3 linked regions of the Cricetulus griseus genome follow. The protein of the gene in region 2 interacts with the protein of the main gene of each other region in a biochemical or structural test. Links are inferred from orthologs where the notes say so. Each region holds a gene or a part of one and is shown on either strand. Other genes may lie near its edges.

Evidence for each region. The genes of interacting proteins can lie anywhere in the genome.
Region 1: the proteins of Atxn3 (region 2) and Prkn form a complex in vitro, tested with the Homo sapiens proteins (4 studies listed by BioGRID and IntAct, with this or other methods). The link is inferred for Cricetulus griseus from reciprocal best matches to the Homo sapiens genes ATXN3 and PRKN.
Region 3: of the proteins of Atxn3 (region 2) and Capn2, one has a biochemical effect on the other in vitro, tested with the Homo sapiens proteins (2 studies listed by BioGRID). The link is inferred for Cricetulus griseus from reciprocal best matches to the Homo sapiens genes ATXN3 and CAPN2.

What each region holds. Positions count from the first base shown.
Region 1 is NC_048595.1:289,628,002-289,633,785, forward strand, and holds part of Prkn (E3 ubiquitin-protein ligase parkin), read right to left. Parts: intron 3,984-5,784; coding exon 3,743-3,983; intron 1-3,742. UniProt on the Homo sapiens protein: Functions within a multiprotein E3 ubiquitin ligase complex, catalyzing the covalent attachment of ubiquitin moieties onto substrate proteins. Substrates include SYT11 and VDAC1.
Region 2 is NC_048598.1:104,075,067-104,080,850, reverse strand, and holds part of Atxn3 (ataxin-3), read right to left. Parts: intron 5,110-5,784; exon of another isoform or gene 5,029-5,109; intron 4,899-5,028; exon of another isoform or gene 4,780-4,898; intron 1,622-4,779; coding exon 1,457-1,621; intron 1,232-1,456; coding exon 1,187-1,231; intron 1-1,186. UniProt on the Homo sapiens protein: Deubiquitinating enzyme involved in protein homeostasis maintenance, transcription, cytoskeleton regulation, myogenesis and degradation of misfolded chaperone substrates.
Region 3 is NC_048598.1:11,976,514-11,982,297, reverse strand, and holds part of Capn2 (calpain-2 catalytic subunit), read right to left. Parts: intron 5,108-5,784; coding exon 5,042-5,107; intron 3,982-5,041; coding exon 3,924-3,981; intron 2,581-3,923; coding exon 2,516-2,580; intron 1,689-2,515; coding exon 1,620-1,688; intron 867-1,619; coding exon 788-866; intron 1-787. UniProt on the Homo sapiens protein: Calcium-regulated non-lysosomal thiol-protease which catalyzes limited proteolysis of substrates involved in cytoskeletal remodeling and signal transduction. Proteolytically cleaves MYOC at 'Arg-226'.

The DNA of each region.
Region 1 (5,784 bases), on a different chromosome or scaffold from region 2:
TGGGAAGGAGCCATATTTGAGTCATGTTAGGTTTGACAGAGTTTCTGGTGTAGCTCTGTTACAGGGCATGTGCTGGAGGTGCTGAGCATGGAGGAATGCCTCATGGACTTTTTAAACATGCTTATTTTAGAGCTGTGTGTACAGGTTCTCCTTAGCCAAGACTTGTCTCCACTGTCCTTTTGGTCTGATGTGACTTCACTGAGACATTGACAAGTTCCACAGTATAAACAGTATAAGTGGTTTTTATGTAAATCATGTATCACCTCTCTTATTGATTAGATAATTTCTCCTACCTACAGATACCTGGAAAGCAAATTCTCAGGTTACAGACATTTCTGTAATAAAGAGTTAGATTGCTTTTTCTGAAAAAGAAAAGACAAACTGACTCTTCACTTCGGTTCACACATACACAATGCATTTGTAAAAGCAGAACAAGAAATGGTGTCTTGGCCCTCATTCTGCATCTATTGCCTTCACTGTGTTAGAGGGGTGGGTCAGATTCCTGCACAAGTCTAACACAGACGTGATCCCCACCTGAGGATAGGCCATGTCAAGCTGCTCGTCCTTCTCCTTCCAGGATGAAGACAAAGTAAGAGCAATGAAGAGACACACAACCAACCTTAGTCAGTTGCTAAATCTTCCCATGAACCAAATTGAGAGAATGGAGTCATTCTCCTTGAGTTCTAGAAACAGCTGCCCTATAGGCAGATGACCCTATTGTGTCACTGGTCCCTAAGTAAGAACAATTGTCCCATGAAGGAACCATGAGGATCCCTAGCCCTCACACCAATTAAGCAGGAGTTGTTATATCATGATAGAAAGAGAACTGGCCCTGGAACAATAGATTTCTCCAGGATCTCACAGAGCCAGCACTGAGAATCATCAGGCCAGAAAGTGAGCAAGGTTGCTTAATTATGCATACCCTTGTGCCTTCCTGCCCCAACCCCTCCTCTATTTAAACTGCAAGCTCACTCATCTCAGAAACCTGAAGTCAGGTCTGAGGATGCTGTTCCCCATTTCCACATCAATGATTAAATTCCTTCCTTGCTTTTCAACATGGCTTTCTCACTTTGGTTTCTGGATTAAGAAGCCAGTCCCCACCACACCAGCTTCTTATGGTTCTATTTAGATGAACACAGAGTTAAACCTAAGTGATAAGATAGCATAGGCAGAAACAGCAGCAGACTGAAGAAGGTATTGGGTGTGTGCACATGGGATTATTCTGCCGTTGTTCTTGTTGAGACAATGAGTAGAGAGGTTGAGTTTTGCTCAAAAATGTAAATGTTTATTTTATTTTTAGAAAGAAAATTTGAATGTCACATTTGTTGGTTGTTCTACTAATATAATGGAGTGATTTGGTCAATAAACATCTTAAAAGTATGAAAAATTAACTGTTTTAGTACTATGTTTTATTTTCAACCATACCCACATGATAATCTTCATGATGAACAGCATGTGTAGTTTTTTATGTTTTTATTTTTATATAAGCCATATTTCACTGAGCATCCATTTGCAACTGACAACTTTTAAAAAAGAGCCTTAACTCTGTATTTGTTGATTTGTTAATATAACAAATACAGACCATTTGTTTTAACTATGGAATTATCATAGGTATGCAACATCACACTTTAAAGACAGCTATTCTTTCTATTTTTCATAACCTCATAAATTTCTGTTACAATCCTGTCTACAGGTGTCATGGAAGGTTCATCTTGAAGCTCACTCACTTCCATGAAGCTATAGAATTGCTCTCTCTTGGCTTCAACAGAATGACATTCGCAGCATAATGCATAAAAACACAGAACAATCTACATCTCAACCAACATCAGAGTACTAATTTGAGGGTCAACATTATGATTCTAGCTTACCCTTTTTATTGTTACAGTAGTAATCTCTTAATGCAGCTTTTCTATTAAGTGACATTTTCTCCACTGTTTATGTTGCACCTTGCTTGCTTGTCCATCAAACTGACCATCATCATAATTCACACCAACACGGCTTGTTTGTGAGTGTTGTCCCTCAAGTATTTATTTTGGCCTCAGCCTCACTTTTTGCTGTGGTAAATCCTTCAACAGGATTTGCAAGCTGAGGGCAGACAAGCTCATGCTGGCTTATGAGGTTGTTTTTATCCTTGTTTCGTCCTTGAGCAACAGTTCTTTGGGTGCTGAATTGTAAGGTCAAGGCACTGCTCTTCGAAGCCGGCTACGGCTCCACTATTTCTATACTCTTGCCTCTCTTGGGAGCTATCCAGGTTGTTGCTCTCATCCAGCCAGCTTCAGCTCCTTTAATTTCAGGACCTCTTTGTCCTGTGTGTTCTTCCCTTTATGAGATGAGCTCACAATTATTTTCATGGTTAGAAACAGTACACCTAACTTCTGGGGCCATCCACCCTTTTATGTAACTACAGCTGGAAACTGTTACTTAAATGTTCTTTGTTGTTGTTGTTCCTTCATCTTTTAACTAGAAGATCACTGATAGTCTTAAAAATCAATTAAACAGTACTTAGGGATTTTAACAAGAGGCATTTTTTATTATTTTGAAGCTTCCATCTTTCTGGCCTTGGGATCCCTGGTGCTAAGAAAGCCATGCTAGTCCAGGCCTATCTATGTCTATGTGGGAGACGAAATAAACTACTCTGGAGAGTTAATTATTGGCTTTTATCTGTATGTACAGACCAAAGTGCTAGGGTTCTGCCATTACTTATTCATCTCAGATAATTAATGCTTAAGGAAATATATTAATATCATCAGCATAACAAAATGATGGCTGTCTGCTAGGGTTTAACTATCCATATCCCCTCTAAACCTAATCACAAATATGATATTAAGACGTGGAAACCTCAGGATCTCAGGGGTAGGATTAATGTCATTAAAAAATGAATTCATGATGGATCACTATAGTCAAACAAGAGAATAGTTCGCCATGAATATATAGACATCTAGATAATATGGAATACAAAATATGTCTCTGGCATGAGGATTATTTTGAGTCATTATTTGAAGAAACAGTGGGCCCATCATTTGTTCTTTCAGGCATAGACATGGTCTTCATCTCTTCAGAGAAAGGCACCAATATGGTGCCGCCTTAGAAATCGATGCTAGGCCCTTCCAGACTCCCAACCTCAGGCCACCTAGGTGTCCCAGCTTCCAAACTGTGAGGAACACTTCCCTGTGCACTAAACATGATCAGTCATCACTAAAGAAATTCACTGAGGCCATGCATTTATTTACCAAGGAAAGTGCTTGAAATGATTATACTGACATCATGACCTGGGGCCAGAGAGTGTGAATGAGAAATTAAAAACACCTTTGATTTTTAAACCTTCTCTGCATCACTGAAAATATAGTCAAAGAAAATACATTTAAGAACCCAAGAAATTAAAGAAAAACAAAGTGTAAGACAGACATGTGTGCTCCTGGTTGTATACCCAAACCCTCACACAGCTTGCCACATGTTTTTACCACCCTACCTCCTCAAAGGAGAAACATAACGCATTGTTCATGGCCCATGCATCCTCAGCATCCTTTATGTCTGCTCTACTCTCACCTCTGTTCTATTGTTCCTACTCACTATTTCATGCACTCCCCTCCCTTCTACAACTGTGTATGCTCGGGACATCCCCCTGCAGTCACTTAAAGATTTTAGCCCCAAACATATCATGAACCAAATGTGTGCAGAGTGAGGACACTCTCTGGAGAGTCAGTTAACAGACAAAATTCTTCAGCAGCATCACTGCAGTTACCTGGATTTCTGGCTGCTTCTGAACCATGCCTGCTGTCTGCATCCAGAATGACCGCCAGTCCCACGGAGTCTGCTGGTAGGATATGGCTACTGAGGTCCACCCTGGTCAAGCTCCTGGGTGCCCATACCGAACCCCCTGAGGTGTCGTGGGGCTTGTCCTCTCCAGATGCATGTGTCTCGTGACTTTTTCTCCCTGGTCTCTGAACAACGTGAACAATGCTCTGCTGTTCCAGGTCACAGCTCTGGGGGAGGGGCAGGCAGAAAGATAAGAACATGGACAGCATTATGTGCAGATAGACCTTAAGTCCTCCTCAGCTTTGGAGTGTACAAACACAGTTAAAGGCTACATAACTTCAACACCTATGAGCACTAGTGGAAAGCAACGCGTGTTCAGTTGACTTAGGAACATCCTGCCGTGGGGTTACAGAACTCACACACTGCATATGACAGGTGGGTAGCATGGAACTGGGGGATAGACGTGGACATCTGAGGGGAAGGGGAACAAGAAAACATAAAACTATGGAAAACATCAGAAGTTTACAGAACCTAGTAGGAAAACAGATCCTAATGCATCTTAAGTACCTGCAAGTAATACCCATTTGAGATGGGTTTTCCTTCTCAGGTTCTTGTCCTTAACTCATTTAATTCAAACACCAGAAGCCATTTCTGCTTTGTGGAAGCTCTGAAGGTTATTATCAGTTCCTGGGCATTTCTCCACAGAATTGCAATGACTGTGCTCGTGGAAAATTGTATACCTTCCTTCCTGTCCCCACAGCCACTGGAAAGCATACTGCAGCACCAGTGGGGAAGCTAGTGAAGGCTGTGTTTGTCCTTCTGCCTACCTCATGATTAAAATCAATGAACATTTACAATAGAACATTTTGTGCTCCTATACTCTTCTTCATGAACAGGAATCTGTAATATTTAGAATAAAACTAAGGGTTGATATTTGCTAAGGTAAGACCTAGACCACCCTAGGTCGAGTCCTAGTTCAGAATAACTAATAGATAGGAGCACCATTCTTCTGAATATTCTAATGGCTAGGATCTGGCTCCCTCACTAATGCCCACATCTCCGTGTTCTTCAGCTTGTTACTACCCTCTTTTGTTGTGGGAATGGTCAACAGATGCCTTGTGCAATACAACTACATAAAGGACACAGTGTAATCTTCCTGCTTTGGTGTCTTCCTCCAGTAATCTCTTCACTGTTGCTATCAAAACCCTTTAAGAACAGTGACCTCTGCCACTCAACTGAATCCACTGCCAAGCACACTGTGGCTTGGTGTTTGCCTTCTCCAGTCAGAAGGTCGTTAGAGTGGTAGCATTCCCATGTTTTACCATCCTCCTGCTCTGGCCTCTGTAACCCTGAGAGGCTTGCTCTGCCCTTAGTCCCAGGGTCCCTCCCACAATGGCTCCTAATGGAGTCTTTCTCTGCTGCGTCTCCTTATCATCCTCTTTCCCCAAGCCACCCTGTCTTTTGCCTTACTTCTGTCAAAGCGCTGCTTGGTACCCTCTATGGCATCTCAGGGGAACCCCTACACCTAGCTTTAATGCTGATTTCCATTCTCTGACACTGGTCAGGCTTCAGTCACTGCATAGCACTTGTCCTCCCTGCCTTGATATATCCCGTAAGGTGTCCAGAGTGACTGATTAGGCACCAGGAATGACCTTCTCATCTTCACTGCCTTCATACCCTCATTGTCACCTCCCCATACTAGGCCTTCATTATTATGATGACTTGGTAATTACTCCCTACATGTCTGGTTTCTGCTGTTACAAGAATCTTTGGTATGTGTGTCATACTATCACATAACTAGTGTGTTTATCCCTTTCTCCTTTCCAGGCCTCGGCCGAGTGCTTTTTATGTCCTTACGTGCACAGAAGGGCCATCCTCCACAAGTATCCATGGCCATGGAGATGCATTAGTAGGCACTCACTATTCTCCCCCCTTACCTGCATCTTAGGTTGAGCCATGTGAATGGCCATTCACTACTGATTTTAGCAGATATGATGGAATCAAGGCTGGAAAATGGTTTTGCCTAGT
Region 2 (5,784 bases):
GTTCACAACCATCTATAATGAGATCTGGTGCCCTCTTCTGACCTGCAGGCATACATGTAAGAATACTGCATACATGATAAATAAATAAATCTTAAAAAACAAAAAGAAAACTACTTGCATAAATAGATCTCTCAAAAGAGATTCTAAAAGAACTTGGACAACCCTTACATGGTTCGAATGGAAGATCCATATATAAAAGCCTCCCAACAAGTACATGAATTAAGTTAGGCATGGTGGTTCCCACTTGCAATTCCAGCACCTGGGAGGCCAAAGCAGAACTTTGGGAAGTTCAAGACCAGGCTAGGCTACAAAGCAACACCTTGTCTAAAAAAAGCAAAACAAACAAACACACATAAAGCCCTGGGCTAGAGGTTTTCTCTAGGGAAGAATACTTGTTCAGTATGTGACAAAACATTAAATAACATCTCCAGCACTATAAAAAATAAACCACCACAGAATTAAAATGGAGCCTAATGGGATGTGGCTCAGCAGTAGACTTTGAACATCTGTGAGGCCTTGGAGCCAATCCCAATCCCATGCTCTCAAACAGGCCACAAATTCAGAAAGACCCTGTCTCAAATAAACAAAACAAAACCAAACAGACAAACAAAAGGGTCACAAATTACCACACAAATCAGAAGCCATAGAAGTACTACAGGAACCCAGTCCCATAGGATGATTCAAACAGAAGGCTGCAAGCCATTGCAATTTCTCAAATGGACCAGAGACAGTAAGTTTGAAGCACTGTAATTTACTAGAAATAAAGCTTTTAGCACCTACATGCAAATTAAGCAATCTCTCTCAGAAAGCAATTTTTAAAGGCCCTGTTCTAAACTGAGTACAGTAGCACATGCCTATAAATTCCAGTCTGGAGACACAGATGGGAAGATGAACCCAAGTCCCAGACCAGCCAGACTACATAGTGGGACCCTGCCTGTCCTAAGCAAGCAAGCGACCAAAGCCCTGTTCTAAATGAATAGTCTACAGTTCTAATGTTCATCTCTCTGTGGACAGCACTCTGGAGCACAGTCTTATCCTCTCCAGACAGTTTACCGAGGGAACTCCTGAAGGTTCCATCGTTACATAAAAAGCTGTGCCAGGCTGTGCCACATCAACCGCAAACGGAGCGTGAGCACAGCAGCGCTGAAAGTGAGGCAGCACTTCACACACACTCTGGACTACTTACTTGAATAGAGAAAAAGCCACTGTCGTCCATATTTCCAGAAGGCTGCTGTTCAATTTTCATGGGCAGTTGTGGGCAGAGGGATGGGAAAAGGATTAAAAACTGTCATTAGTGTGCACATTTACAAGAACATGCTGTACAGTCCCATTTACCAAGAGAAGAGCAGAGTTATAATTAACAAGTCAGACTCCGAAGGGGAGAATGGCTCATCCTCCTTTAAAGAACACCCGCATGTTAAAAATAAACGGGATTTGGTAAGTCTGAAATCAGTACCTGTAAAAATGTGCGATAGTCTTCACTAGTAACTCCTCCTTCTGCCATTCTCATCCTTTCTTCTTCATCGAGCTGGTGTGCAATTGAGGACAACTCCACGGGGCTAAAATACTCCCCTTGCAATAGATTATTCAGGCAATGCTGAGCACAAAGTGAGCCTTCTTGCTAGTGTTTCCAAAAGAATAAATTGAAATGTGATTTATTAAGCAGATTTATATAGTATCTTCTAAAAAATTTAATTATAACTTTTTAATACAGTCAAACATTATTAGCCTTAGGCAAACCCGATTTACAGGTATATGCATTTTCATTTGTCCACACTTATTTTACAGCCATTTAACTATAGGAACAAAAATGAAGAATGATTTACAGTATAACTTCATCTATCCCATCTCATATAAGCCTAAAAGTGGCCCTATAAAAACATTTAGCCTTTTGAATGTTTTAGTACCTACAAGAATTCGTCTTTTGAGATTCCATGACAAATTACTTCTGGAAAAAGGGAATGTTATCTCCTAGAACATTCATTCTTCTAACTAGTTTGTTGCTATTTGACCTTAAAAGCCTGTCCTTTCAAACTCAGGAACAAGTGGGAACAATTCTGTTTTGGGTTAAGACCCACAGCTCTAGAGCTGAAGCTCTCATCGGCCGACTTTGCAGACTCATTCCATGTAGCATATAGGAAAGAGAAGTGTCCCAAGCTGACGACAGTCCATACCCATGAGTGGACAGGCTAGCGAGAGGAACTGCGGCCAAGTTTAGCTCCCTAAGGAGTCCTTAGCATCCTCTCCTGGAGGTTGGGTACATCATCCCACAAGTCAAGTGGCTTCTAATGCTGGTTAGCTGGCTTTCATACACAAATGGAACGCACTAACCAATCCAGTCAGCCTGACACTGAGCAGCCTTCTTGTCACTCCCCTGCTCCTAACAGTGTTGCTTTCCTAAGCTATGGGTAAAGAGTGGATGAGTCCAGTGGACACAGACCCTAAGCCTGCCTTCTGGGAGGCAGAGGCAGAGAACACTTCCTCTGTTAACTCTGGCTCTCTAAGGGCCAACAAAGCCTACTGAACTCAACCTGCCAGGCATCATGCCCCATGGTCTAAGCTGTTACATGACAAGTGATGACTCCAAAGCACACCTTACAAGATTCACTTTCCCCTGATGAATCAAGGTTATAGGAACAAAATGTAACTGCTGAAGTAGATATAGTACACATGTCTGTCATGGAACAGGCAGAGTTCAGAGAACTTACATCTGACACACAGCTAGAGCAAGCTTATGTTCACAGTCTGCCAAGGCATGTTGCCTAGGGTGGCTTGGAGCTAGTTAAGTATCCCTTCAAGTTGCAGTCACATGGTAACAGAATTCTTTATCTCTGCCTTGTTTTCCTTCTACTGTCCATCTACTGCTAGGAGCAACTTTTACTGAATACCACCCACTACGAGGTAGAAACGTACAGATGTTCTACTTATACCCTATTGAAAATGCAAACATTTCACAAGATAGTCAAGAGGCAAAAAAAAAAAAAAAAAAAAAAAAAAAAAAAAAAAAGATCTCAACTTCTGTAGTCATCATGGACATGTGTATCAAAACCGTAGCACAGGACAAGAGGTGGCTTAGCAGGTGAAGGTGCCCACTGTAAATCCCCAGATGCTACTGTAGAAAGAGAGAATGACTCCTGGGTACTTGCCCTCTGACCTCCACATGCACACCTGGCCATCTGCATGCCAGCACTAGCATGCATGTCACACACACACACACACACTAAAACAATGATTTTTAAATATTATACTTATTAATTGATTGGCTGGAGGGGATGCAGAGGACAACTTGAAGAATTCAATTTTCTCCTTCCATAATGTGAGTCCCAAGGACCGAACTCAGGTTTTAAGGATTGGCAGTACGTGCTTTACTTGCTGAGCTATCTTTCCAGGCCCTAAAAAATGTTTTTGTTGTTTTTCAGACACGGTCTCACTTTGTAGCTCTGGAACTCACTATGTAAACCAAGCTGGCCTCAAACTCATACAAATCTGTTTGCCTCTGTCTCCAAGTGCTGGGATTAAAGGCATGCACCACCACACCTAGCTAAAAATTGTATCTTTTTTTAAAGATTTTATTTATTTATTATGTATACAAAATTCTGCTGCCATGTATATCTGCACACCAGAAGAGGGCACCAGACCTCATAACAGATGGTTGTGAGCCACCATGTGGTTGCTGGGAATTGAACTCAGGACCTCTGGAAGAGCAGTCGGTGCTCTTAACCTCTGAGCCATCTCTCCAGCCCTAAAAATTGTATTTTTTTAAAAGATTTTATTTATTTATTTATTATGTATACAGTCTTCTGCCTGCATGCAGGCAGATGGCACCAGATCTCATTCAAGGCGGTTGTGAGCCACCACCATGTGGTTGCTGGGAATTGAACTCAGGACCTCTGGAAGAACAGTCAGTGCTCTTAACCGCTGAGCCATCTCTCCAGCCCCCAAAAGTTGTATTTTTATAAAAGAAAATTTACAATGTGTTACTATTATCCAGTCTCTGGGTCAGCTATTACAGAGGAGAGGTTTAGAATTATAGAAAATGGTTGTCACAGGAGTTAAGTATAACCTCGGGAAAGCACTCTCCAGTAACTTTCATCTCTACCAGAGCTCATCCATGTGCTCTGCTGTTACACACAGACACTGCAAACGCACTCACCAAAGCACTACTTGTATGCTTCCAAACTGGAAAGCACCCCAACACAGTCTAGATCACAAAAGTGTACTTCCAAAAGAACAGTATAGAAGGATAAAAGTAAATTAAATACAAGTAGCTGCAACAATGTGGATGAATCTCTCAAATACTCTTAAAAAATAAACACACACACACACACACACACACACACACACATAACACTAAAAAAAAGTAGACACAGGAGGTAAGGATGTAGCTAGTGTATGCAAGCCCCTGGGTTCGATCCCCACTACCCCCCCATCCCCCCCAACAAAGACAACAAAAATATATGTGGGGGAAGAGCCTAGTGAACCTATTTAAAGTAGAAGAGAACATTCCACAAAGCTTTCCACTGATCTCTCTCCATGCACAGTGGTGCATGTGTCCACCCATACAACATATCACGCAGAGACACACAATAACAATGAAAGGTGCTTACAAACAGTCGAAATGAATCTCTTAATCTTCAATGGTAGAATTAAGCAAGCACTGGAAGGGCTAGTCCCCCTCTAAGGGGACTGAGAGGAGGTGATTTCATCTTAGGACTGTTTCCATGTGTGCTTCCTTGACTGCACACCCTAGCGACTCATGTGTTCTTATGTATGACATACCTGATTTAAAACATTCAGACAAGGCCAGGTGGTAGCGGCGCATACCAGGGATGTTCTGCACACCTTCGATTCCAGCACTTGGGAGGCAGGGATGTCTATGAGTTCAAGGCCAGCCTAGTCTAAAAGCAAGTTCCAGGACAGTCAGGGCTACACAGAGAAACACTGTCTCAAAAAACAAACAAAAACAAAAACAAAACAAAACAAAACAAACAAAACCATTCAGTCAAGGCCAGGCATGGCAGTGCATACCTTTAATCCCAGCACTCAAGAGGCAGAGAAAGGTGTATATCCATAAGTTCCTGGCCAGTCACCTACATAGTGAGATCCCATCTCAAAAAGAAAAGAAAAGAAATCAAGAAGTATCTAACATGGCAACCAGACACTCAACTTTGGGAAGCAGCTGTGATGCTCTTCAGTCCAACTGCTAGGCAATACACTTCAGTGTAGGGTTCTTAAACTACAGTCACCATATTCTTTAAAGACATTTTTATTTTTATGTGTATAGGTGTTTTGCCTGCATCTATGTCTGCATTGTGTACAAGTCTTGGCATTCGTGGAGACCAGAAGAAGGGGTTGGATCTTCTGAGACCAGAGTTGCAGAGGGTTGAGTCATCGTCATATGGGTTGCTGGGTCCTCTGAAGAGCAGCCAGTGCTTGGAATCATGGAGCCATCTCCCTCACCCCCTGGTAACCATATTTAATATATAGAAATATTAACATCAAAAGTTTTGATAAAAAATTCTTGCTATTAAAGATTGGGGATTTGGAGGCAGGAGAAACAGTTCAGCAGGTAAAAACACTTGCTGATCTTGCAGGGAATTTGGGTTTGGTTCCTAGCATCTATGGGGGAACTCACAACTAGCTGTAATTCCAGTCCTAAGGGACCTGATGCCCTCTCCTGGCCTCCTCAGTCACGGTATGCACATGGTGTAGTCTGATTCATGTAGACATTCATACATATAAAATAAAAATGATGAAATCTTGAAAAAAACAAAAGTATGTATC
Region 3 (5,784 bases), about 92 Mb from region 2:
GTTGAACTTTGCCATGTAGTCCCTTCTTTCATTTCTGAACTGTTCCACAGCCTGTCTATTTCCTCACTAACAAATAAAGCTTTTGTCTGTTTTTTTGTTTGTTTGTTTCTTTGTTTTTGTTTTTGCAATGGTCATGCTGCTCCTAATTGATAACCATGATTATCAACACGAAACAACAACCGTGTAAGTTCTAAATCAAATCTGAGATTAGTTTCTTCCTAGATTTTAGGTGGCAGGCTGATTGTGGCAGACTAATTAATACTAATTCTTCCTGTAAACAGAAAAGGAACTTTAACAGGCCTGTCACTGTCTGGGCATGTTGATTGCACTTTGCAGCTTTCCTTGCAGCTGTAGGAGATCTTGTTCACACACACACACACACACACACACACACACACACACACACAGACACACACAGACACCCCCTCCCCCCACCTCTCTCAGAGCTGACTTTGCCGTCTTGCTCTGCCAGGCTGTTTCAGATAAAACAGGAGCACGCTAAGGGCAGAGCTTCCAGGACGACATTTAATTTGAGCACTGTCTCTTGGAGGGGAATGAGAAGATGTGCTTGTGATGTTTTAGACCAGGACCTGCTTTATACCACCAACCAAATTTTGGTTCATCTAACTTTGGTTGTGCTGGGGACAGGACCCAGGGTCTTGTGAATGATAGGCCCGAGCCTACCTCTGAGCTACATCTTCAGACCCACCAACAAAGCTTTATGTTGTATGGTATAGAACGAGGCTCAACACAAAACAGGTAAGGAGGTGCGGCCATGAAGTGGTACCTGCTTCTTCCAAGGCTTTCCGCATCTCGTAGGAGTTCATGGTTCCAGACCTGTCAACATCGATTTCCCGGTAAATTTTCTGGAACACACAAAATTCGTATTAGAACCATGACCCAAAGCAACACAGCTGTGGAGGTTCCTGTGAGGTGTGTGTGAAGCTGTGAGGAGCTTCCATCTCCCCGCCTCTAGGCTGGCCTTACTAGGACCCCTCTCCCTTTCAATCGTTAGTAGTGAGGTGGTTCTCAACCTTCCTGATGCTGTGACCCTTTAACACAGTTCCTCATGTTGCAGTGACGCCCAACATAAAATTATTGTCATTGCTACTTTAGAACTGTAGTTTTGCTACTGTTACAAAACGGTAAATATCTGATATGCAACCCTTGTGAAAGGGTCACTCAAACCCCAACCGGGTCGTGACCCGCAGGTTGGGAACTGTGTTACTAGAGCTGTTGCCTTTTTCTATGTGCTGACTTTGTAATGTGCCCACCAAATCGCCTAGCCCGTCAGCACAGGCCGATGCTATGCTTTACATACGAACGGCCACACAGCCAAACTACAAGAGGCCAGGCAGCCTTTCCAGGAAACTGTTGACAGTGGCCTCATTCCTGGTCATTAGTCAGGCAAAGGAAAGGCTAAGACTGCCTTCCTGGCAAAGCCCTTGCTTTGTGTGTTTTTTGTAGCCAGGTCTTTACTCCTTCTGAGTTCCACTCTGGATAAAGTCCAATTCCCTTGGAAATGTTCCCCCACCCTCCAGAGGAGTGACATTTTAAAGTCTGTGTCTGGAATATCCCCCAACACTGATCTACCCACCCCAGGGTCCCCAGGACCCTACTTGGTATTTCTGAATCTTCGTCCAGAGGATGTAGAACTCCTTCAGCCCCAGCTTGCCACTCCCATCTTCCTGCCCTCAGTCAAGGAAAGCTCCTGGAGTATGTGGTCACTGGGTACAGTGGCATCTGCTTGGCCTGAGGGCTGGCTCTCCCAGTACTTCCAACACATGCACAGAGACATTTTGTAGAAGGCTCTGCCTTCTGCCTTTTGTACTCACGAGTTTCCTCAAAAGGGCAGCGGGAAGGGAGTGATGGAGACCCCAGATCTTGCCAACAGTTTGTTATGAGATGACAGATGACTGGGACCGTGAGAATTATTGGGTATTTTTAAGGTGTCTTGTGAAGGGAGCTGCTGTGTCGTAGGTACATGCCTTGTGGCCAGCAGATAGTGTCACAGAAACTTGAACTGTTCTGTTACTGAGGGAACCAGTAACAAGAGGGAGCATGGTTAGTCTGCTTCAGGGACAGGTGGGTGGCCCAGGGGGAGCTAGACCAAGGAGAAAGAATGACAACGTAGGCAGGCCTTCAGCTTCAGGTCTGGAAAACTTTTTTTTTTCAGACAGTCTTGCTATGTAGCCCAGGCTGGCTTCAAAGTGGAAATCCTTCTGCCTCAACACCACCATGTGCTAGAATGAACAGAAGTGTCTAGCCATACATGGTTTTAGAAGGGAACCTTGCCACAGACACAGTCATATCAGGCACACGATGGGTTAGGGAAGCTCTACTTTGGAAAAGCAGGAGAACCCTGTTCAAGAAGCTGCCCAGGCTGCTCTGGGCAGGATGGTGGGTGCATGTCCAGGGATTCTAGCCGAGGACCTAGTAGGCTGTCTGTTATACTCTGAGCCTATGAAGGCAGAGTCGAGTGGGCTAGTCTCCGTTCTGAGCCATTAAAGGATACATCTAGCATGTCCACCATGATTTTACAGGTCTCAATGCTGAAGCCATCTGACTTGATATCTTGGCCTAAAAGACAAAAGAGACCTGTTAGTAAAGCTTCTGGACCAGTACTATCTGACAGAACTTTCTACAAAGGTAGACACGTCCTTCCTCTGTGCCGGCCACTACCAAAGCCCTGTGGATAGCTTTGGCCAGGTGTGGTAGTTGGCTGTCAAAATGGGGCAGCACAGGGAATCCTACATTGCTGGCTTTCTCTGTATAACTACCATGGACAAACAGGGCTTTAATATTAAAATAAACAAGTAAAGGAATTTAAAAAATTACTCGGCTGGGTTTTTTTGTTTTGTTTTGTTTTGTTTTGTTTTTGTTTTGTTTTTGGACGGAGCCTTGCTTTCAAGCTCAGGCAGACTTCAAATTCATACTTCTGCCTCATAAATAGTGGAGGTGTGTGCTACCCAACCTGATCATGGCTGAACCTTTAAATGCTGACAGGTGGAAAACTGTCTGTGGTCGAGTGCAGCCAGAGAGCACATGTGTTCATTGTAGGCTCTGAGCAGAGAGAGGAAGGTGGCTGTTTCCATCTGTCCATCTGCAGACAGTTGTGTCTGTGTCCCAGCAGACCGAGAAATCTGAGGACCTAGAACCTACTGCACTTTACTAGGTGAGTCCTGGGCCATTGGTGGTCTGAGACTCTAGTCACACCCCCCCCCCCATAGACTTCATGAGGAGTGTGTGTGTGTGTGTGTGTGTGTGTGTGTGTGTGTGTGTGTGTGTGTATGATGGTAATGTGTGTATGACAGGTGTGTATGCATGTGTATTAGTATAGATGAGTGGTACCACGGCACATGTGTGGAGTCATAGGACAGCCTTGGGTGTCAGCCCTTACCTTGTTTGAGACAGGGTCTCTGTTGTTAAGCCCCATGTATGCTAGATTGGCCTACAAGCTTCTGGGACCTCTGTGCCCATCATCTGCACTGACTTAGCCTTTTCTCACCAACTAGTCATTACAAGAATTTCCATTTACAGCATGCAGGCTCTGGACCAGGTAGATTTTACGTAATGTCCAGCCACTGGGAAGAGGGAGTCATACGTAGGGTGTCTGTTTTGCAGATAAGGGTTAAAAAGTCAGACAGGTGATCTGTGTGATGTCATTTACTCAGAGAGCTTGTAAGTAGAAGAATTTGGATTTGACCTGTCATCTCTAGACCCAGAAACCCTTGCTCTGTACCATTACGTCACACACCTCCTCTGTCCCACTCTTCCCGGTGCTGGGAGTGCAAAGGCAACAGCTCATGTAGGAGCAGAGAGGGCTGGCTTAGCCGTAGCAGCTGACGTGTGCTTGAAGCAAGGAGTCCCTCATGTCTGCGGGGATAGGAGTAGGATGAGGGATGTGCGCAGGGGACACTTACGCCTGGCTAGAACTCTTCTCAAGATGGTCTGCAGCTCAAAGGCAGAGATCTCCGCATCCTGTGGACATAGGAGCCGACCATCGTTATGGCTCCCATGGGAGCTGGGTGACCCGCAGTGAACATCTTGGATGAGTCTTGTTGACCTTGCGAATGCCCCAACTGATGTTTTGTCTGTCCCCAGCCTACCCTAAGTAGTGCCCTAGGCTGTATTTAACATACTGTTACAATGTAGGGCACATGCTGGGTGGAGTTAGTCACCCTTTCTATATGGCAGGGAACACGTTCACGGTCTTCCTCAGCCTAATTCTCCCACGCCACCCCTCCTGCAGGGTCTTATCTACCCTCTACAACTTCCTGAAACTGCTTAAGACCAGCCATGGCTCAGCCCTTCTCTGAGGTCATTTGCCAGGGCTCCTCAGAAGTGAGCCAGCTACCTCTGTTCACTTAGGTGTATTTGTGTGATTGGTGTAACCTTGTCCAGGGTGTGTATAGAGGGGCAGGTGTGGTTCAGTTAGTGGAGACTAAGTTTCTCTGAGGACCCTTCCCTTGAGAAATGGGGGTGGGGTGGGGGGTGACACAGCTTGCATCACCCTTTGATGAGTCTGTGGCTAGACAGGAGATGGGCCTCATGGTAACACTGGAGAGAGCCACACAAGGAGAAGGACACTTTGCTTCTGGGGTTGCAGGGAAGAAAGGGCGGACTGGCTTTGTAGAGGGACTGTAGGCTGGGGGACTATTTTAAGAAAAGGACAGTGGTGCTTTGGTAGGCACTGCTTCCATTCTGGAGGAATGGGACCCGTCCATCTCAGGTGTGTTTATGGGGTCAAGACCAGGAGTTGTGTTTCATGTCTCAGTTGGCACAGAACAGAGGGAACAAAACAGCCTCAAAGTGAGCCAAGAGTCTCAAGGAAAAGCAGAGCCAGGGCCAGGTGAGGCCCTGGGAGTCAGCAGAGGGCTTGAGAGGATGTGAGCAAGGGTCACATCCCTTGGTGTTGGGCTAAGGGTCTCAGGAATGACCAAAAATCTGCTTTTGCTTAGTTTGCTTTCTTTCCCCCTTAAATGAAGTCTCCTCCAGGAAAATCACTTCTTTATGTCAGCAGAATTTTGGTGACACCTACCTCTCCTGCCAGCTGAACAAACAGCCTTCTGAAACCATCGTCAATGTCCTCCTCATTAGCTTCAATCTAGAAGGTGAGGCACAGAAATAGGAAACTCATTAAAGAGAAATTTGATCTGATTGAAGGTGCCCTTTCCCTTTAATGGCAGCCCCCCCCCCACTCTCCAATTTCCAGAGTCTTCCTGCTCCTTAGGCTGGAATTCTAAGGACATTGGGCTTACAGTGAATGGCAGGGTGAAGAGTTAAATATTTTGTTTGGTTTTGAGACAAGATCTCATATAATGCAGCCTGGCCCCATACTCCTTATGTAGTTGAGGATGGTCTTGAACTCCTCATCCTTGTCTCACCCGGCAAGTGCTGGGGTGATAGGTATGTGTCACCACACTTGTCCTTTGAGGATTTTTTCCTTATTTGAGTCAGGGTCTCAAATAGTCTGGGGTAGCCTTGAGGTCACTGCATAGGCAAGGATGCTTTGAACTCCTCATCCTTCAGTCTCTTCAGGGCTGAGATTACAGGTGTGCACCACCGTGCCTAGCTAAGGTTTTGTTTTGTTTGGTTTCTTTTAGCTAAAGCCCATGAGAGGGAGTGGAAACCACATGGCAGGGGAGGTTATGCTTTAACTTCTTGCAATTCCAAGTATCTTTAATATTTAACTAAAACGACCTTGTATGGTCAACTCTGACAGGAACCGAGTGGAATGCTGTGGAACAGTTTGGTCAATGACAAACCGTTTGGTGTTCGACT